3 linked regions of the Tamandua tetradactyla genome follow. The protein of the gene in region 1 interacts with the protein of each later gene in a pairwise test. Links are inferred from orthologs where the notes say so. Each region holds a gene or a part of one and is shown on either strand. Other genes may lie near its edges.

The links. The genes of interacting proteins can lie anywhere in the genome.
Region 2: the proteins of TRIM32 (region 1) and SCGB1A1 interact in binary tests that used the Homo sapiens proteins (3 or more experiments, as listed by UniProt). The two-hybrid records come from large-scale screens. The link is inferred for Tamandua tetradactyla from reciprocal best matches to the Homo sapiens genes TRIM32 and SCGB1A1.
Region 3: the proteins of TRIM32 (region 1) and RABAC1 interact in binary tests that used the Homo sapiens proteins (3 or more experiments, as listed by UniProt). The two-hybrid records come from large-scale screens. The link is inferred for Tamandua tetradactyla from reciprocal best matches to the Homo sapiens genes TRIM32 and RABAC1.

The regions. Positions count from the first base shown.
Region 1 is NC_135328.1:40,933,555-40,940,493, reverse strand, and holds the start of TRIM32 (E3 ubiquitin-protein ligase TRIM32), read left to right. Parts: upstream 1-3,938; 5' UTR 3,939-3,988; intron 3,989-6,939. UniProt on the Homo sapiens protein: E3 ubiquitin ligase that plays a role in various biological processes including neural stem cell differentiation, innate immunity, inflammatory resonse and autophagy.
Region 2 is NC_135335.1:12,174,450-12,181,889, reverse strand, and holds the start of SCGB1A1 (uteroglobin), read left to right. Parts: upstream 1-4,439; 5' UTR 4,440-4,494; coding exon 4,495-4,549; intron 4,550-6,582; coding exon 6,583-6,770; intron 6,771-7,440. UniProt on the Homo sapiens protein: Binds phosphatidylcholine, phosphatidylinositol, polychlorinated biphenyls (PCB) and weakly progesterone, potent inhibitor of phospholipase A2.
Region 3 is NC_135342.1:21,683,680-21,691,140, reverse strand, and holds RABAC1 (prenylated Rab acceptor protein 1), read left to right. Parts: upstream 1-4,460; 5' UTR 4,461-4,606; coding exon 4,607-4,662; intron 4,663-4,967; coding exon 4,968-5,180; intron 5,181-5,467; coding exon 5,468-5,565; intron 5,566-6,737; coding exon 6,738-6,839; intron 6,840-6,921; coding exon 6,922-7,010; 3' UTR 7,011-7,169; downstream 7,170-7,461. UniProt on the Homo sapiens protein: General Rab protein regulator required for vesicle formation from the Golgi complex. May control vesicle docking and fusion by mediating the action of Rab GTPases to the SNARE complexes.

The DNA of each region.
Region 1 (6,939 bases):
GTACCCAGGACCCTGCCCAAAGGGACCCCCATCCTGACCATGAAACAAGCCTCACTAAGGGAACAACACGGCAAGAAACCAGGATAGAGGCAACCTCCGCTCTCCTCCAGCACTGTTGCTCAGAACAGCTCATCTGAGAGCTTTGCTTGACAGGATTATGCCATGTGGCTTTAGTGACAGTCATGAAGGTTCCACATTTCTTGACTTCCTAAGCACTGTCATCTCCTTATCTGTTTCGAGTTTTACACCAAACCTTACTCAATAAAATAGAGAGCTGTTGTCATAAAATGCTGCATAGTGGTTAGAAGCATTTTATCAATCTGACAAGCCTGGATTTGTATCCTAGCTCGACCATTTCCCTGGTGGTGACTGTGAACAAGCTATTTAATCTTTCTGCACCTCTGTTTGCTCCTCTGATATCTACTTGAATAGGTGGTGAGTAGATCATGACTGGTGACAATATATGTGAAGTGCCTGGCATATTGTTGGTACTCAAAAAATGGCAGCTCTTAGCTGGCTGACCCCACGAAGTTATGTTGCAGTTAAAATAACTCCAGGCTAGACAGGGAATGAGACTGCCTTAGGTCACATTACAGAGTCTGACTCACTCAGGAGCTCTTCTGTGCTGGGTCCAGTGCTAACAGATGTGACTGCGAACACTGACCTTCAGAATAGGCAAGAGGATGATAAAATCTGACCAGACTTTGTGAGAAATCAAATTGCAAGTCTTGGAACTTGCTGAGCGGCAATTGAGCACATCAGAGCTCCCAGGAGCCCAGGACTGTGGGAAAAGCAAGTACTCCTCCTCCTCTGACCTTGGGAAGTTCAGCCTGCACCCACTAGCTGCCAATTCTGAGCAAAACCTGTGCCGGGCTTTTTAGTCCCAGACTGTGCTCCCTACTAAGCCCAGTCATGACTCAATCTATTGCTGGCCTCTACTCAAACTGCAGAGGCCTGGAAGTGCATCACTGAGGTCTCAGAGAGCTATGTCAACTCAGGAGTCCAGAGCCCCCAGGCCTGATCTAGGGATGCCTGAAATATATCAAGCTAGCCTCCTGGGGTCCTCAGCATCTGCAATACTATGTGCTGGGGCTTTTGTAGACAAGGCCCAGAGAAGTGTGAGAGCTAATTTTAATTTTTAAAAAGTAACTTATTAAGTGCAAAACATTACGCGTTCATAATCTCAGTTAATTCTCAGGGCAAACATCATCTACATTTAGAGATAAAGATATGGACTGTAGAATACAGGGTAAAGGATGATATGGTCCATATTTTAAAACTTCAACTTCTGTGTGAGGCCAAAGGAAGTGATGTTATTTAGTGCAAAATTTATATTTTGGGTGGCACATTATCCTATTTAACTTGTATAGTCAGTTTATTTGAACACTATAATTACATGGAATCTTAAATAGGGCATGAGATCTTGTTGGTTTGTACAGGTTAAAGTGATGCCGCAAGACATCCCAGATTAATTTGGGCCAAGAATAAAAAGGTATTAGCAAAGTCCCCTTGGGGAACTGGGGAGAAAAAAGGAAATATTCAACTTCCCCATCTTGGGAATTCCTGATATTCTCTCAAGCAGTGGGGACAACAAATTCAATAGGCTAGGCCCTCGATCTTGGGGCCACCCTATAAAATTTATTCCTGCAAAAGAGAAGTTAAGCCCACTTATAATTATGCCTAAGAGTCACCCCTAGAGAATCTCTTTTGTTGCTCAGATGTGGCCTCGCTGTCTAAACCAAGGCAGCAGGTGGACTCATTGACCTACCCCCTGTATGGGACATGACTCCAAGGTCTGTAAATTTCCCTGGCAATGTGGGACAGAACTCCCAGTATGAGCTGGGACCCAGCATCATGAGATTGCAAAAGCCTTCTTGACCAAAAGAGGGAAGAGAAAAAAGAGACAAAATAAGGTTTCAGTGGCTGAGAGATTTCAGACAGTCAAGAGGTTATCCTGGAGGTTATTCGCATGCATTATATAGATATCCCTTTTTAGTTTATGCTGTATTGCAATGGCTGGAGGAAAGTACCTAAAACTGCTGAGATGTTTTCCAATAGCCTTAATTTTTGAAGACGACTGTATGACTATATAACCTTTACAATGTGACCATGTGATTGTGAAAACCTTGCGTCTGATACTCCTTTTACCCAAGGTATGGACAGATGAGTAAAAAAATAAAGATAATAAATAAATAAATAATGGGGGGAGATAAAGGGTAAAAAATGGGGTAGATTGAAATACTAGTGGTCAGTGAGAAGAAGGGGTAAGGGGTATGGGACGTGTGAGTTCTTTACTTTTTACTTTTTTTTTTTTTCTGAAGTGATGCAAATGTTCCAAAAATGAACATGGTGATGAATACACAAGTATATGATGATATTGTGAGCCACTGATTGTATACTATGTATGGACTGTATGTGTGTGAAGGTAGCTCAATAAAAATATTTTAAAACAAAGAAATGGATAGAGAGATTAATCGAGGTTAAGAGGGTGGGTTCTCAAAATTGGGTTCAAGTCTGGGTCCCACCATCTATGAGCATTGGCCTTGTTATTCAACCATCTGGGCATCAGTTGTTTTATCTCATGGGATTCTTATGAGGATTAAATGATTTAAACATATGCAATGCTTAGCTGCAGCCAGACATTAAGTTAAGGATGTTGGTTTTGTCACTGTTGTTGTTTTATTATTGTGGTTGATTGAATTATGTACCCCAATTTAGCTTGTTTTTAATTTCAAGCCACACTTTTGTGAGTGTGAACCCATTGTAAATAGGACCTTTAGAAGATATTAACTTTAATATTAAGGTGTGGTGTGGTCCAGTTGAAAAAGGGTGGGCCTAGAGTCCTTTAAACGCAGAAGAAAGTCAGGCATAGAGAAAGTCATGGTGAGAAGCTGCAAGTCAGCAGAAACCTGGAAGAACACAAAGGAACCCAAGGATTGCCAGCCAGAGAGAACACCAGTGCCCTCCTCAGGAGGAAGCAAGCCACTTTCAGCCTCTGAAACCATGAGCCAATAAATTCCTGTGGTTTAAACCAAACCCATTGTGTGGTATGTGCATAGCAGGTATAGTAGCCTGGCAAACTGAGGCAATCATTGTTTGGGGTCATAAAACTAAACGGGATTTCCAACCCTAAGGCATTCTACTTCAGAGCGTCTTTGTGCTCCTAAACTATATAGTATGGTCACCTGCAGGACAGGTAATTGGTCCCAAATAACCCAAAGGGCCACATGTCCTGGCTTGCCAGTAGGTTAGACCACCTCCCACCTGGAAAGACCCTTCCCCAACCCTCTCCCCTCTAAAGCTAGCCTTAGGCTTGGGTTCCTGGGTAGCTTCCGTCTGCAGGGACAGGAGCTGCAGGATATATTCCCTATAGGTACCTTTGCTGTTTTCCTCTCAGCCAAGTAAGCAAAAAACTCCTTCTCAAACGCAAAGTGTTATAAGATAAACATGTCTCCAGTATTATATATGTCATGGGGAGAAATATGAGACCTGCGACACTGCCTTGTAAGCGAGTCCAGAGTAAAAGTAACATTCTTTCTTTGGCCTATTTCTCAGATGGGAAAGCTGAGGGTTAGCGAGATCATTTCTGTAAGCTGCCAAGGTTTTGTTGGCGACAATCCCGGACAGTCACGTTTTAGTGGAGGGGTTTAGCTCCCGACTCGTTGCATGAACTTGGGACAGTCCATTTCGGCCGTGGGCCTCAGCATCTTCATCCGTGCAATGTGACAGGAACCTGGATTATCAGGAAACCTTTCCAGAGACCCCAGTTCCTCGCCAAGGGGTTGCCACAACCGGGCCGCAGGGCCTGGAAAGCTTGGCCGCGCGCGACTACAAGCCCCAGCATACCTCGGGGGGGAGGCGGGGTGCAGTGATGGACAGGAGGCTCTACGAATTGGCGCTCGCCAAGAGGAGCGAAGCGGCGCATGCGCAGAGAGCGGCGGGCGGGAGGGCTAGGGGCTGTGGACTCGTCGGAGCCGCTGGCGGTCAGGTAGGGGGCGGGAAAGAGGGTCGGGAATGAGGGACCCCGGCTGGAGTCCTGGGTGGTGGCTGCGCGGCGAGATGAGGTGTCGTGCTGGCGCATAGCGTCTGGGCCCGCGTCCAAATAACAAGCTCTGGGGACCGGATCAGAGGGGTAGGATGAGGTGGGGGTGGGGCATTAGGGGCAGGCTCTGGAGGGATTCGATGGGGCTGGGGAGCTCTGAGGAGCTGCAGCTGGGATTGTGGGGGCTCAGGGAAGGTTTCCTGTGCAGCATTTCGGGAACTGTGAGGTAATGTGGGGCTCTGAGGAACGCGGAGTGCAGTATCTGGAGATGTGGGGATATCTGAGGACCCTGGAAGGACCTGGGATGCCAGATTTGGATAATTGGAGGGAATTTGGGGGCCTTGATGAGATTTAGGGTGCATGATCTCAGGATGTTTCAGAAAATCTGAGTGTGTATCCATTTGGGGGGTTAAGTTCTGAGATCACAGAGAGCAGGAGCGATTCTAATTGGTAAAGAGGGAAGGTTTTCCTGAGTAGGATACCAAAAAAATTGAGGGGCGAGTTTTGTGGGGATCAGTGAGATGTATTGTCTTGCTAGCTAAAAGAAGGGACCTAGCCAAGGTTTGAAGTCAATACGTGATATGGGGTGGATAAAAAGGATGAGCAACCTAATAGGATGCAGGGGATGGGGCTAAAACTAAATGGAGGTCAGAAATCTAAGGTGAGAATTGGGTGTTTGGAAGAGGTAGGGGTGCGAAGCTGAAGGCTTCAGAGATTGGAAGTAGGGATTAAGGAAACTGTGTTAATTGGACTTGGGACATAAGGATGAAGGTTGCAATACAGAGCCCAAAAGATTGGAATTTTGTATTGTAAAAGGATTGGGAATAGGATTTGGAGAGGATTGAAGGGGAGGGGGGAGTGAAGGATCATAACTGACAAATGGAATTAAAAGGCTCTTAATAGGTTGGTGGGTTGGTGTCTCTGACTGCTAAAAGAATTTTCCTGAAGTCTTTGTATGGGAACAGAGGGAGTTCTGGGGATCCTAGGACCTAGAGGTGATGTATGAAAGTGTGTATGAAAACATGAAGCTTAACATGTTTAGGGGTTCAGGAAAGAAGTCGTAAGTCTTCAGAGATCAGGACTCCTAAAGGAGCCTAACTTTCCCTACGAGGGGCACAATCTCCTCCACTTATTCACCCAAGTTCTCTTATCATGAGGCAGGCATGCCACTGCCACCAAGTCCACTCTGATCCTGGACTAGCTGAAAGTGGTGGGCCTGGGGAGAAGGAGAGAAATCAAAGAAGGGATAAAGCAAAAAGCTATTCAAAGTCATCCTCCTAGACGCCCCCTTCCCTGCCCTACAAGCTGCAAGGTTCTAGAGACCTCCAGGGGAATGAGGAAACATTTTCTCAGGCCTTCTTTTCCTCATCAATTCAATAAGCGGATTGAATGAGTTCATATGTAAGGACGATTACAGCTCAAAGCAGTCAGTGGCTTTGTGAACAAGGCGCCTGGACAGGGAGAAAATCTAGGGAAAAAGGTAACTCATATTTACCAAGCATTTAGTTTTGTGCCAGGCTCCAAAGCAGTTGTTCTTAAGCAGGGGCAGTTTTGTCCCCCAGTGGATATTTGGCAATTTCTGGAGACATTTCTGGTTGTTCAAACTGGGGAGGGGGTGCTACTGGCATCTGGTGGGTAGAGACCAAGGATGCTGCAAAACATCCTATAATGCCTCCACAATAAAGAATTATCCATCCCAAAACAACGCTAGTGTGGAGGTTTAGGAATCCTGACTTATTTTTCTTCACTTTTTATTGAGTTACTTAACCTCTTTATACCTAGGCTCTGCATCAGTAAAAAGGGATTAATAACAGGACCTACGTTATTATTTCAGCCCATTCCTCTCTAGTGAAAAAAAAAAGGATTGCCCAGTGGGTATTACCAAATACCAAATAGAACTCTAAAGGGGAGCAGGTTAATTTATCTGGTTAGGTAAGGTGAACTGGATTTTGTTCTTTGTTTGCTCTTAGACTAGACCAGTGGATGGATAAGAGGAGGAGCTTGAGGTTAGATGGTAAAATGGGGTACAAGGGACTAAGGAGAGAGGTATAGAAGCCATTGGCTAGGGAAAATACCTTCAAAGCAGGGACTGAGGCTAAAGGCAGTCAAAACATGACAGGAGAGCAACTACTGTGGCCTGAAGGCTCTTTTTTGGGTATCTTTCCCCTGGGACAGAATAGCAGTTTTAGCTCTGTCAGCTCAAAGACTAGCTACAGCATTGCTGAAGCCAGTTCAGATCTGAGGGCCAGAGATTTAGCTGCAATATCCCATTCCCTCCTCCCCAAAAGGAAAATAGGTAATGGGAATCAGAGGCCTGAAGCCGAAAATCCTTACTCTACTACTAATTTACTGTGAGACCTTGGATAAGCACTTGCCCTGTCAGCCTCAATCTATTAAGAATATGAACTGCCATTTAAAGAGTGCTTATTATGTATCAAGCACATATCGTGCATTATCTCATTTGATCCTGCCAATGATCTAGGTGTTATTCCCCATCTGACAAGGTGTTATTCCCCATTAGATGAGGAAACTAACAGGTTATATGATTCTTCTAAGGCTACAGAGTAAGTGCCAAAGCTGAGATGAGAACCCAGTTATGTCTGGCCCCAAAGTTACATTATACACCTTACGAGAAAGGTTTTGCAACTCTGAGAGCACAAATGTCTCCATCTGGAGAGTGGTTGATACACAGGATCCTTGAAGTGGATCACTGCCCATGTACACTTCTAGTAGAACAATCAAATTTTAAAATTATTCCTAGGTTCCTTTAATAACCTCTTAGCCAAACTCCCTAAAGGTAATAACAACCTAAGTAGTCAGTGAACTATAGCATGTATTTTGAATTGGTGTGATTTTATGGCTTGTAGTTGACATACCTGGATTTGAACTCCAGTTCT
Region 2 (7,440 bases), on another chromosome or scaffold:
CGCGCATGCATTGGCGCATTCCACAGGTTCCTGGTTAGCAACCATTACATAGCTTGGCCTCTGCCACACAGGGTGGGGGTGGGGGTGGGGTTGGGGGGACCGGCCCAAGCAAAGGCGCACCACAAATGGCGCAGGAGGGCACCACAAATGGCAACGTTAAAATGCAAGACAGTGGAGGGGCCTGTGGAGGCAGGTAGGGAGTGAGGCCACTGAGGGGAACCAGCCGGTCGGAGAAGGCTTCACTCTCGATTTTCCGGGCCCAACCCTATTCCTCTATCGGACCCCAGCCAGACAGCCAGGGGGCACAGTTGGCTTTTCCCTGTCCCTTGGCTGCCTCGTTCAGTCCAGCATACAGCCTGTCCAGCATCGCCTCTCTTAGCTGCCCTGATTCCCCTGCCTGTCACCTGGTCCAGATGCCACCGCCTCTCGGGGGGACATCGGCAACAGCTGCTCAGCTGTCCCCCACCCCACCCACCCCACCCCCAACACACACACTCACTCACTCACCACCAGTCCTTCTCCTGAGGGCCATTTGTTTATAACCTGGTCGTTCCCAGAAACTCCGGGTATTTATGTGACTCCTGAGACTCAGGATTTGAACTCTGGAGCTCTGAGAGCCTGCATTACTCCATACAGGAACTGCTGAAAACGTTGAAAAAACGGATCAGACTTCGACTAGAGATGTGATGAATCTCATCTGGATAGGACTGGGGTAGATCAGAACACAGGGTACAGACTGGTTATGCCAAATCTAAACAGGCAGGGGAGGTGGGGGTGGGGGATGGGGGTGTGGGGGAGGGGTGTGGATTCTTTCCTTCTTCCCCAAAGGGCAATCTTAATGGATGGCAGCGATGGCAGCACAACCCTGGAAATGTAATTAACATCAATGAATTGTATCCCTGAAAGTCATTAAAATGGGAAAATTTAGGTTGCATATATGCTACTAAAATAATTTTTTTTTTTTTTTAAGAAAAGGACAATCGGATCACATCACTCCCTGATTAAAAAGCTTCCGGTGACTGAGCTTAAAGCCTGAGACCTGTGTGCTCTTGCCCTGTTGGCCCTGTACAGCTGGTACACAGGCACAGGGCCCCCATGGGCTCCCGCGACACACAGGGGTCCTTCCCAACTTAGGCCCTTGGTGCTGGCTGCCCCCTCTGACCAGAGCCCTCCCAACCTGCAGTTCTAAGAATTGTCACCTCCTCACAGAGGGCTGCCCTGATTTCCCCATCTAAGAAGCCTCACACCTTTTTTTCTTTCCTTATCCTAGCATCATGCTTAATTCCTCCCTAGGAATGTCACCATCTGTAATTATTTCATTTGCTTAAATGTCCACCCATCTTTGCCCCCACCAGAGAGGAGCGCCACAAGGCACTCTTTCATTGCTGAAACCACATTGTGGGTTGGGGTCTCGTGAAGCAGATGCTGAGATGGAGTTTGGAGTGCAAGACCGCCCTTAGAGTTCAACGCCTGCCAAGGGGAAGGGGTGGAAGCTATGATAACGGCCGGGCAAAACCCCAGCCTCCCTGGAAGGAGGCATCTGAAACTGTTGAGCTGGGTTCTGGTACCCTTGATTCTTGAAGATGACTGTAGAATGATAGAGCTTTTACAATGTGCCTGTGGGGTTATGAAAACGTTGTGTCTGATGCTCCTTTTGTCGAGGGTATGGACAGATGAGTAAAAATATACATGGATAGGGAAAAAAAAGAAAAAAATTTTAAAAGGCGGGCCACAGTGGCTCCGTGGCAGAGCTCTCACCTGCCATGCAGGAGACCCGGGTTCAATTCCTGGTGCCTGCCCACATTTAAAATATATATATATATATATATATACATATTTGGATAGGGACCCTGGACCAGATAAGTCCTGAAACCTAGAGTGCCCAGCCTCTCCAGAACATCAGCTAGATCATCTCCCTACCCCATATTATCAACAGCCCCTTCCAACATGAAAAAGTTAGAATGGCCATAGCCCAAATACCCCTAAAGAATGGGATAGAAAGAGCAAATGTGATGGTAGAGTTATACATAGAAGGTAGGGTTTAAGAAACAAGTATAATTGCTGAATCATTATGTCGATATTTCTTTTAGTCTCCAGCATCTTAGAGCAGCTAGAAGTAAAAACCTAAAATTGTGGAATTGTAACCCATACCAAACTCTGAAATCTGTTCTAAAACTAATTGTTGTGCTATGCTTTGAAATTTATTGCTCTTTTGTATATATGCTATTTTTTGCAAAAAAAAAAAAAAGTCGATTGAGATGATAAAAAAAATATTTATTCCTTCTAGCCTCCTATGTTCTGGAGCAGCTAGAAGGAAAAATCATGACAAACTCCAGGATCTGTCCTGTACCTACTTGTTGAAGAGTGCTTTGAAAATTATTGCTTCTTTCTTTGCTTTGTATATATGTTATATTATACAGTTCAAAAAGTTAAAAAATAAATAAATAATAGAGGGGCTAGGGGGTAAAATAAATTGGGGAGATGGAAATACTAGTGATCAATGAGAGGGCAAGGTAAAGTGTATGGTATATATGAATTTTTTCTTTTTTCTTTTTATTTCTTTTCCTGGAATGATGCAAATGCTCTAAAAAAATGGTCCTGGTGATGAAAACACAATTATGTGATGAGATTGTGAGCCACTGATTATGCACCACGTATAGATAGTATGTGTGTGAAGATTTGTCAATGAAAATATTTTTTAAAATATAAATAAATAGTGTGGGCCATGGTGGCTCAGCAGGCAGAGTTTTCGCCTGCCATGCCAGAGACCCGGGTTCGATTCCCAGTGCCTGCCCATACAAAATAAATAAATAAATAAATAACCCCAGCCACACCCTAGCAGAGAGCTCCAGAGTGAGAACTGCCTGTTGGAGTTGTCCCATGTGGTGCCAAAGTGCCCAGGTTTGAAAGCCGATCCCTGCTGGGTCCCCAGATGCAGGCAACTTTGGGAAAGCCGTGACCTTCGGCCAGGCATTCCTCTGAAGCTGAAAAAGACTTGGAAGCAACCAACAGCTGAAGGCTCTGCTGACCACACTGCCCGCAGCTACACAGTGAGCTCTTGGGCAGCGCCTCTCCACGTCCCCACGACTCCCAACTCCCGGCACATGCCTGGTGCATAGCCGGTGACTCAACACTTATTGAATGAATGAATGACGTCTGGCTGAGTTCTGAAATACTAATAGGATTTGGAGGACGTACACAAGGGAAGATGTGTATATTCCGGCATCAGGCTCAGTTTGTGCAAAGGTAGAAATATGCATGGAAAAAAAGAATCTAGAAATATTCTGGAACCTACAACTAGTAAGACGGGGTTAAATCAAACAGGGCAGTGGAGGGAATGAGGCTCAAATGGGAGGCAAATGTCCACGGGCAAGAACCTTGTAGACCACATTTGAATTTTGACCTGTTGGCAAAAGAAAGCTATAAAAGGGTTTCGAGGAGAATGGCATGATCGGTGTCTTTTAGAAAGATTATTCTGATGGCATTTCAGAGGATGGCTGAGGGGTCAAGCTAGGAAATGGGGAGGGGGGGAGACAATTAGGAGGTGGTTTTGGAAAGACCAGGCCAGATGCCAGGAGGTATTGGCATCAGAGAAGGGAGGTAGCGACCACAGGGCGTGGGGACTTGAGGGGAGGCTGAGAACAAAGCCTGGGAACCACCAACACTTAACTGGGTCAATAAAGGATAAACATCAAAAGAGAACAAGAGAGAATGGAGAGGGAGGGGGGAAACAGGAAAGAACTGAGACATGGGAGAACACAAAGGAGAAAAGGAACCGGTCAAGCAGGTCAAAAGCCATTTAAAAGGTCGAGCAAGATAAGGACTGAAGGTGCCTATGAATTTGGCCACCAGAAGGGCAGTTCTGGGGTGGAAGCAGACCCAGCCTGGTGCAGGGCCTCGTCCAGCCTGGATCCGGTTCTGGTTCTGATAGGTGTCCTAGGAAAACCCTTTATCTATGAACACACTTCAGTACAGGGTCTCCCCCAGGTCTGGACACAGTGGACCTCTGGACGATGTTGCCCAGCTGCCGTCCTTGGAGGGGAGCAGTGGAAGGAGCCAGCGGGATGTCAGGAGACCTGAGTTCTAGTCCCGTCCCAGCCACTTGCTGAAGGGCCTTGGGCCTCGGTTTCCCCCGGTTGACCAGCCCACAATTGTTTACCTTGTTCCTGAATTGCCCCCTCCCCACCCCACCCCCAGCGCTCAGGGCCAGAGAGTGAGGTGGGCGGCCCAGTCTCCATGCAGGACTCTGGACTCCCTACCCCAAAAGTGACCCATTGTCTGAGAGCTCCGTTTCAATGGGGACAGAAACTGAGTTGAGAAAATAAGATATTTACTTTTTCCACCGGGCTGATGCCCAAGTAAACAGTGCAGTGCCCTGGCCTCCCCCCACCAGGCACTCCCTGGAGCATATAAGAAGGCTCTGCCACGGGCAGGTCTCACCCAAGCCCACCGGCCCAGAGACAAGCGAGAGCCTCCCCCAGCCTCCCACCCACCATGAAGTTCCTTGCTGCTCTTGCTTTGGTCACTCTGGCCTTCAGCTGCACCCCAGGTGAGCCCCCCAGAGTCTCTTTAGTCCAGGACTGGCCTCAGGGCTTGTCACGGCCCCCCAGTTCTGCTCAGGACAAGGGTAAACTGCTCGAGTCCCCTCTGTGGCTGGGGGAGAGTCTGGGGTACTGACTCTGAGCCAGGAAGCTCAGAGCCCATCTTGAGGGCTTGGAGGGAGCTCTGAGGCTGTCAGGAAACCCAAAAAGGGTCCCATTGTCCATAACCAAGAACCTAACAATTCCAGGGAACGGAGCAGACTGAAGGGAGGGATGCTGGAGAGCCCATCTAGATGAGAGGGTCTGATAACCAACGGAATAGGAATTATGAGCAGCTCAAAGCCCAGACTTGGACAAACCCCAAGATGCCAAGAGCTCTCCGTGCAGCCTCCAGGTTTGGGGTCTCCTCCCGCCTCGGACAGGCAAACGGACCAGGAAAAGGAGCTGCAGAGCCTCATGTCCCCAGATGAAACCCACCCCAAGGCATTTTTCTCTTTGGGCAGAGAAGAATGAACCAGAAAGAGGTCTACCCTCTAGGAAACGGCCAGCCCAAAAGAGAGTTTTCTAAACATTTGGTTCTCTGCAAAAAGAAGTAGGAGCCTCTGAGCAGTTGCTGCTGTCACTAAGGTGGAAAGGAATGGAAGAACCAAAGGAAGGGAGGGAGGGAAGAAAGGAAAGGAGGGAGGGAAGGGTGGCTTTCTCACGTTTCTCTCCAAGTCCCCCCTTCTTTGGGAATTGGGTGACCTGACTGGTTTTTTAACTCTGCATCAGCTTCTTCCACCCCAATCTGAAGATGCTATCGTTTCGTTTGCTTTTTTTAATAAACGAATTCCATTTAATTCGCTTTGAAAGTTTCATGCTACCCATGACGATGACAAACTTTATGACCTTGGGAGGTTATAAAACCAAAAGCAAGAAGCAGCCATCTTGTAGAGAAGTTTGTTTCTCCAGGGAAATAATACCGTTTTGGGCTGCAATGCATGTTAATTAGAAGACCGCAGTGCTGGGTGTAAAAGTGGGTGGCTCTGTGAGATGGTACTGAACTATGTTCGGGGTGGGTCTGGGAGGCTTTTGTATATTCGTTTGTGTGCATATGGTAAAATAGCAGCAATATCTCTAGCATTTACTCAGCATTTGCAACGTGTCCCTCTTTCACTTACTATCTCTTCATTCTTACAACAATCCTCTGAAGATGGTATATTACTCCCATTTCACAGAGGAGAAAACTGAGCTACAGAAAGGTAAATTAACCTGCCTGATGATATAGCAAGGTACAAAGCAGGAATCTAAGTTCTGGAGAGCATGTGACTCAGAGTCGCCACTTGGGGTAGGGGCCTGGAGTCCAGGAGAGGAGCTGAATTTGAGTATAAGGCAGAGAACGCAGGTACTGGGCATCTGCGCCTCTGTGGAGGGATGGGGGCATGCAGGGGGTGGGGAGTGTGACTCTCCCCCAAGCTCCTGGAAGCAGAGATTTGAGAAGGGAGCACACTCCAGGGAGCACTACAGGGAGCACAATAGGACAAGGAAGAGCCCAAAGAAGCTTGCCTGACTGTGGGGGCTCATGCTTGGCTGGTACAAGTGTTTCTTCCTGCCAGAGCCTGGCTTTGCCACGAGCCCACAGTGACATGTGGCTCAGACCATCACTCACCATCGGTAAGAGGCATGTTCTAGTGGGAAGTAAGTCCCCAAGGCTGCTGCCTCTCCAGGTGCTCCCAACTCAGAACAGCAGCTTCTGTTGGGCAATACCCTGCCTAGAATTCGAGCAGAAAGGCCAAATGGCACCTTGCCCCACCCCCACCCAGGAAGTCCAAGGAAGCCAGAAAAAGCTGGCCATAACCCAGAAAGCATTCACAGAGCACCAGGAGAGTCAACTGCCAGGAGCGGCACCAGAGGCAGAGCTGACATTCTGTTCCATGGGCAAAAGGGCTGCTGGCCCCGCCGCCCAGCCTGGGCATTGGCATCATGGGCATGTCCAGCCAGGGGGCTGGCCAGTTTGGAAGATGGTCTGGATACATATTTTTTCTCTTTTTCTGGGCCCCAGCTGCAGCGATGGTGTGTGAAAGCTTTCTCCATGTCCTTACAACCATCTTCATGGGCACGCTTTCCGATTATGAATCCGCAATTCAACCTTTCAAGCCTGAGCCAGATATGAAAGACGCTGGGGTCAAAATGAAGAAGCTGATAGACATTCTCCCCCAGGAGACCAAAACCAGCATCATGAAGCTCTCGGTAACCAGCTTTCTTTGCTTCTCCCCTTAGACGTGCATAACCCTGAGTCCCTCAGCTGCATCATCCTATTTTCTGCAAACTTTTCTAACCCAGAGTGGAGAGAGGAGAGTCATGGCACAGATGGCCCCAGAGGCCAGACCCAGCTATCTCACAGCCATTTCCCCTTTGCTTTATAAATAGATATAGATATAGGCATAGATAAAGATTTTTTGATAAATCTTCATACACATACAGTGAATCCAGATTATACAATCATTGGCTCACAATATCATCACATAGCCGTGTATACATCACCATGGTGTATTTTTAGAACATTTGTATCACTACAGAAAAAGAAATAACAAGGAAAATGCATACATCCCATACCTCTTACCTCTTCCTCTCATTGACCCCTAGTATTTCATTCTATTCAATTTTTTACTCTTTATTTCCCCCCTATTATCTATTTTTTTTATTATCTTATTTTTTTATTCGTCTGTCCATACCCTGGATAAAAGGAGCATCAGACACGAGGTTTTCACAATCACACAGTCACATTACAAAAGTTCTATCATTAGACAGTCATCTTCAAGAAACAAAGCTACTGAAACACAGCTGTACAGTTTCAGGTACTTCCCTCCAGCCACACCAGTACACCATCAACTAAAAAGGGATATCTATACAATACATA
Region 3 (7,461 bases), on another chromosome or scaffold:
AGTTATCTCCTGCCCCTCTCCCCCAGGCTGGCTGCTCTCCCCCCACCCCTGCCCCCTGCCTCTCTCTCTCCCTCTCCCTTTTCTGTGTCTCTGTTTCTCTCCCTTCCTCACCCTTCCATCCCTACCCTCCCTCCCAGCCCTCTCCTGGCCTCTTTTTTACTCCTTTCACTCCCCGACTGACGCCATCTCTGGTTCTGGACAATTATCAAATATATCAATGGGGAGAGAGAAGTGGTGTGCCGTGTTGTGCTTGCTTTCCAGACTAATGGTGCTGGGGGGACCGTGTCCCATGGGGGTTCGCGCTGCTGGGTGATTCACACAACTCCAGAAATTTAGCCTGGCTCGTTCGTGAGAGCCACAGAATCTCAGTAGGTTAAGGAATCCGCAGGGTTTAGGATGCAGTGAATGCCAGGGCAAGAGCAGCTTGAATTCGTCTGGTGATGGGATTATAGTGTCAGCGCAGGGAAGAGGCTGAGAATAAGAGTTAGGACTGTGGAGTCGGGGACCCTCTCATATTGGAGTAGGGTCTCCGGGAGGTGGTGGGGATGAAGATGATGATGATGGCGGTGGTCCACTGAGCTCCCACCGTGTGCGCTGTGCTCTGATGGGTCCGGCTTACATCTGAGACCCTCCCACGTTGTCGGACCTATCGCCACCCCATTCTCTTGCCTCGCTGTTCAGTATCCGATTGTGTGAATCTAACACTCTTTGTTTATCCATTCGCCTGTGGATGGACATTTGGGTTGTTTCCAGCTTGGTGGCCCTGACGGTGTGAACTGCGAGGAATAGGAACCTCCTAGTAATGTCTGTAGATGACGTGTGTGCACCGCTGCTGGGTACAGGCCTGGGAGAGAAGTTGTTGGGACACACCATAGACTATGTTTAGCTTCAGCAGAAACTGCCAGGCTGTTTTCAAAGCCCTTGCACCATTTTGCATTCCCACCAGCAGTGTATGAAAGTTCCAGTGGCTCCGTGCCTTCACCAACACTCTATATTGTCTTTTTAAATTTTAGCCATTCTGGTGGGGCAGCTACCCCACTTCCCTGGAGGCTGCCTCTAACACAGCTCAAAGACACAGGTCAGAGGGCAGGGTGGGGCCAGACCCAGGCCCACCTGGCTACCAGTGTGAGGTGTGTGGGTGGCCCGGATGCTCCGAGGGCTCATGTGAGTGTGGGTTGTTGCCTATGTGTGTGCGCGTGACCATTACAGCAAGCGACAGCTTAGGGAGGAGTGCTTGTGTCGGAGCAGGGAAGGGGCCGTGGGTGCTGGACTCCCCTCCTGGTGCCCAGGACAGAAGCTTGATCCTGACAGAGCTGTGCAAGCTTGCACCCCTCTTGGAAGGCCAGCGAAGCACTTTATTCATCTAGTGCCCCCAGGTGTTAGTAACGGTGTGGTACCTGGGAATCCTGTGTTTTATGCATGATTGTTCTGTAAATCAACAACTTCTCTAACAAAAAAGGAAAGAAATACTCACATATACAGATGGGCAAACTGAGGCCCAGAGAGGGGAGGGACTCCCTTGAGGTTACACAGCAGGGACTATAACCCAGGATCCTGATTGTCTATGCTAAGGGCTTCTGACCTTCTCAGCGCCACTTCTTCTGGGAACCCAAGAGGCTGGAGGGCACACAGGGCCATGCTCACATCCCACAGTCTTGCCAGGGGTCCCTGATCTCTCCCCATCCCCCTAATCCAGGACCCCTTCCCCCACAATCCCTCTGTCTCTGGGCCCCATCTCCCACAATTCCCCTGTCTCTGGACCCCATCTCCCACAATCCCCCTGTCTCTGGGCCCCATCTCCCACAATTCCCCTGTCTCTGGGCCCCATCTCCCACAATCCCCCTCTCTCTGTGACCCCATCCCCCACAATTCTCCTGTTTCCGGGCCCCATCTCTCAGAATTCCCTTGGCTCTGGGGCCCACCACCTCCCACAATGCTCCTAATTCAGGGCTCACTTCCCCTCAACCCCCTGCTGTAGGGACCTGTTATAGTTTGCAAGCTGCCAGAGTGAGATATACCAGAAATGGAACAACTTTTAAAAAGGGGAATTTATTAAGTTGCACATTTACAGCATCCAGGGAAAGATACTTTGGTTCGAGAAGGCCTATGATGTTCAGGGTTTCTCTGTCAACCGGAAAAGCACATGGCAACCTCTGCTAGCCTTCTCTTCAGGCTTCTTATTTCATGAAGCTCCCCCAAGGGCGTTTTCCTTCTTCATCTCCAAAGGCTTCTGGCTGCATGGGCTCTTGTGACTCTCAAGCTTTCTCCAAAATGGTTCTTTCTTAAAGGGCTCCAGAAAGCAACCCCACCTTGAATGGGTAGAGAGACACCTCCATAGAAACCATCTAATCAAAAGCTGTCACCCACAATTGGGTGGGTCACATCTCTGGGGGTAACCAAAAAGCTTCCACGCAGCAATACTGAATGAGGATTAAAGGATATGGCTTTTCTAGGGTCCACCACAGATTCAAATGAGCACAGTCTCCCCTCCCACAGTTCCTATTTCAAGGGACCCTTCTCCTACACTGCCCCTGTGTCAAGGCCCCAACTTCAAAACTCCTACAATTCAAAGTTCACCCTCCTCCTGGGGTTCAGAGGGTCCCTCCCCTATAATGTCCTCTCCTCTGCAACCACATCTCTTGCCGTGGTCCCTGTGAGACCACTATACATCATCCATGTTCCATGTCTCCCAGCCTTTGCCCAAATATGTCAACTACTCAGAACAGGTACTGGCAGGTGATGGAATGAAATCACTTTGAATCAGTTCTCATAAGGAAACCCATTTCAAGGTTGGCCATGGAGAAAGAATAACATCTTGGGAAGAGGTAGCTGGATCTTGGCTTCCAACTTTATTTCCCCAAGATTCATCTTCCCTTCGGGGGCGCTTCCACTGGTTACCTCTGCCACCCCCATCCCAGTGCTGCTAGCCCATCCATGCTCTAGGCTAACTGTCCCTCTATAGACCTCCTTTGATTTTTTGAGGCAAAGCTGGACTTGAGTTGGAAAACTTGAACAAATTGGAAAGCCCAAGGATGACAGAGGGGAAGGAAATGGTAACTAGACAATCTGACCCTCATTTGTAGCTTGGGGCCGGATAGGCACACCATCAGTAGCCTCCCTGACTACTGCTGCACTAGCTCCCTTGGCAGGAGTCATCTTTCCCCACCTCCAGCAGGAGTGCCCTCCACCAGGGCTGAAAGGCCCTACCCAAAAGGCCTGAGCATCTTGGGAGATAAGAATTGGGGCTAACAGTCACCTGGCTATTCCCCGTAGGTTTTCTCCCTTCAGTCCCAGGCTTGGAAAATTACGACTTCACTTCATGTAAGGAGCCCAGACTTCATGGCACTCCATTCATTTCTTAAGGCCCTGTTCCACTGCACCCTCTTTAAAATTCTGGTCCTGTCTTCCCACAATTCACCCCGGGGCAGGGACAGTCCACTGAGGAATTTGTTTAAAGACTTTGGGAGAACCACAGCTGGGGAACTAAAGAAAGGCCCATGCCTCAGACACCAGCCACTCTTTGGGATACCCAAGGGGCCAGAGTCCCCTAATATGCAACTGTGAAATTGGGGAAGGCTGAACTCCAGAAATGATCATCATAACATTAATGATGATACAGTGTTGACAGCAGTGACTATATTTATTGAGCATGTATAAAGTGTTGAGAACTTTAAGCACTTTATCTGGCTCATTTAACTGAATCTTCATAACTCCATGAGTGTGGCACTCTGAGGCTCGCCACTGTCCAGATGAGGATGTGAGGTTCAGAGATATGACTCAGTCAAAGCCACACAGCCTGCATTTTCAATTAAGTCTCACCTCAGAATCCCAGGTCTTTTAGTTATACAAGCTTCCTCTTTTATAAATTTGCAGCTCTTTCCCCCTCACAACTTCCTTCCTATGCCAAGGTGCGTGGTGGGCGGGGTCTAGTCCTAACCCATTGGACCCTGAAAGCCCAAAGATTGGAGGGAGGCTGTGCTTCACTCCCAGACACCACCCCCACAGCCACAGCCCTCCTACTAGCCTCTGTCCCTGGTGGGAGAAAGGAATAATTTCCCACGAATTCTCTACAACTTCGCTACTCAAAATGTGGTCCAGGGACCAGCATCATCAACATCACTTGGGAACGTGGTAGAAATGCAAATTATGGGCCCCACTCTAGACCCCCTAAACCAGAGCATCTGGGGTACGGGCCCAGGAATCAGTGTTTTATTAATTTCTAGTGTTCACAGCACCACCTTCTTCCAGGAGGGCTCCCATAATACCCTTACTCCCGACAGCTCACCTTCCCCGACTCCACGCCCCCAGCTCTAGAACTACAACTCCCACAATGCCCAGAGATTTCCACTGCCCCCCCCTTCCCTGGGACTTCATTGGGACTACATTTCCCAAGGTGATTTGCGAGCCAGTCCTCCATCATGGCGCCCGCACCTCCCAGACACCTCCAGGACTACAACTCCCAGAAGGCTCAGCGGCAGCCCTACCGTCCCCAGTAACTCCCGAGCCGTGCCACGTCCATTTCGCGGGTGAGGCCGGGCTTGGGCGGGGCCCGGGGTGTGCGGGGCCCCGGGCTCCTTTCGGTGGTTCTGCCCCTCACACCGCAGATATGGCGGCCGAGAAGAACCAGCAGAAGGATGCCGAAGTGGATGGGATGAGCGCCACGTGAGCGACCCGGCCCTAGCCACTCCCCAACCCAAGACCCGGAGTCCGGGCTCTGACCCCCTGTACCCCCGGGTCCCAGGACCCCCTATGGCAAACCTCTTCTCTCAGACACCAGAGTCCAGGCTCCCGGTCCCCTTCTCTTCGAGGACTCTGGAGTCTGAGCCCCTCCTTCCCTCCTCCCCGGGGTCCAGGAGTTCGAAGCCCCACTCCCCCAGGAGCCCGGAGTCCGGCCCTCTCAACCCTCATCTTCCTCGGGGTCTCAGGCCTCTATCCCAGCCTACCGCTGACCCGGCCTCGTCCTCCAGGACCCTGCTGCCCAAACTGATTCCATCCGGCCCGGGCCGTGAGTGGCTGGAGCGGCGCCGCGCAACCATCCGGCCCTGGGGCCCCTTCGTGGACCAGCGGCGCTTCTCGCGGCCCCGCAACCTGGGCGAGCTGTGCCAGCGCCTGGTGCGCAACGTGGAGCACTACCAGAGCAACTACGTGTTCGTGTTCCTGGGCCTCATCCTCTACTGCGTGTGAGTGCTTCTCCCGCCCGCCCTGGCCTCGCCCCCACCCGGTGGCCCTGCTCTGCCCGGTGGACCCCGCCCTCAGCAAGCTGCCGCACCCCTCGCTGGCCAGGCCCCGCCTTGTGTCCCAGAGGGTGGGGTCCCTACTCCCCTGACATCTGGGCTAGGCCTTGTGACCAGCGTGACCTGGTGTCAAGGAAGAAGCCCTCCATCTGCCCTGTAGAAGGATGGGGGACCCCTGGCTGGCCAGTCCCTGCAACCTGACCCCTGCCTCTCTTCACTCCCCTCCTTCCCAGCTTGACGTCCCCCATGCTGCTGGTGGCTCTGGCGGTCTTCTTTGGTGCCTGTTACATCCTCTATCTGCGCACTCTGCAGTCCAAGATTGTGCTCTTTGGTGAGATACCCCTTGGCCAGACCGAGCCCCGACTTCTCAACTTCTGGACTCTCTGAATGCAAACCTCAGACCCCCAAACTTAAATTTAAATTCAAGTCCCTCTGAATTTAAATCTACTCAAACTTAGATCTACCCTAAGTCTCCTACAGCTCATCTCTTAAAATCCCAGACACATTAGATGCCCCTACCCAGCCTCAGCTCTCTCAATTGCTATTCTCCAAATCCACAATGAGATACCCCAAACCCACCCTTCACCTGGCTCCTCCCCAAGCCATTCCACTCCTCCCTAATTGGTCCTCCCTAACCTCTGCAGAAAGCATCAGCTGCAGGTACCCCCATTGGACACCAGGTGGTGGCCTTACACTGGCCTAGTTCCTGTTCTCTCCCCTTTCCTGCTTCCTGAGATAGAAGCTGGAAGGTGGGACCAGAAAGAGCTTAGGACTTAGAGAAGCTGAGACCTATGGCTTTATAAAGTACCTTGTTGTGGTTCCAGCCTGGAATGAGGTTCCATTGGGCAAACAAAGGAGGACCTTCGTCCCCATCCAGGGGAAGCTCAGGTTTGGAGTGGGGGCAGGGAGAAGTTGGGATCACACAATCAGTGAGACTTAAAGTACTTCAGGGACTGAAACTAAAATTCAGGGGCCTGCAAGTCATGTACACGATGAAGGTGGACTGGGTGAGGAAGTGCTGGGCCACCCCAGGACATGGAGAGAGCATCTAAAGCTTAGCCACGACTTGTCTTCGGCCTGTTGCTGTCACCAGAGAATGCAGTAGTGTCACCCACTTGTTCTTGGAAAACAGTGTACAGGTTCAGAAAACATAGCCACAGGTCAGACTTGGTCCAGGAGCCATCAGTTTGAGTTCCCTGGCCTACATGAGTTCAGGTTGGAGCAGGAGAGCCCTGTACTGGGAAGGGGGTGCTAGGAGTTTTCTAGAGGAAGAAGGGTTGAAGGGCAAGTGGTCGGAGGCTGAGGACAAGTTTGATACTCCAGAGGAAGATGGGGATGTTGGAGAGAAGCTGTGATCAAGACTCATGGGGTCTTGGTGAGATGGGTTTGAATTAGATCCTAAGGCTCTAGAGCTTGTGACACCAGATTGTTGGGGGATGGCGGGGGAATCTGGGAGAGGGCATGGAGTGTCGGAGCCGTGCCCCAATGCCATCCACCCCCCAGGCCGAGAGGTGAGCCCAGCCCATCAGTATGCCCTGGCCGGAGGCATCTCCTTCCCCTTCTTCTGGCTGGCCGGTGCGGGCTCAGCGGTCTTCTGGGTCCTTGGTAAGTAAAGATCTGGGTGGTATGGCCAGGTGGGGACATGCAGGTGAGGGAGCCTTGCCCTGACCTGCCCAGTTTCCTACAGGTGCCACCTTGGTCGTCATCGGCTCTCACGCCGCCTTCCACCAGGTGGAGGCTGGGGATGGGGAGGAACTGCAGATGGAGCCTGTGTGAGGTGTCTCCAAGGACCCGCCGCTTCCCAGGCCAGCTCCCCTGGCTCCTTTCACCCATATCCTGCAAGGCTCTGCTGCCGGGGCCCAAGGCCCCCTTCCCATTACAAGCCCAGGGGAGGAACTCCAGCTTTGGAAATAAAGCTGTTACAGTTGTTATTCAGCAGGTGTCTCCTAGTGTCTTCTGTGTGTCTCTGTAGAGTGATGCTAGGGTACTGCTGTACCCAAGATAGATGGGCCCCAGGTGTGGGAGACGACCGTACAGATGTATAAGTGAAGTGGTCTGGGGTGTCAGATAGTGATATGTGCTGAGGAGAAAAGAAACGTGGGGAAGGGGTCATGTGTCGGGGGTCCCCATGAGCAGCCCCAAATTCTATGATTCACTGGGAAGACACACAGGACTCAGCATATAGCCAGCTCACAGCTGAGATTTGTTGTAGTAAAGGGACACCAGG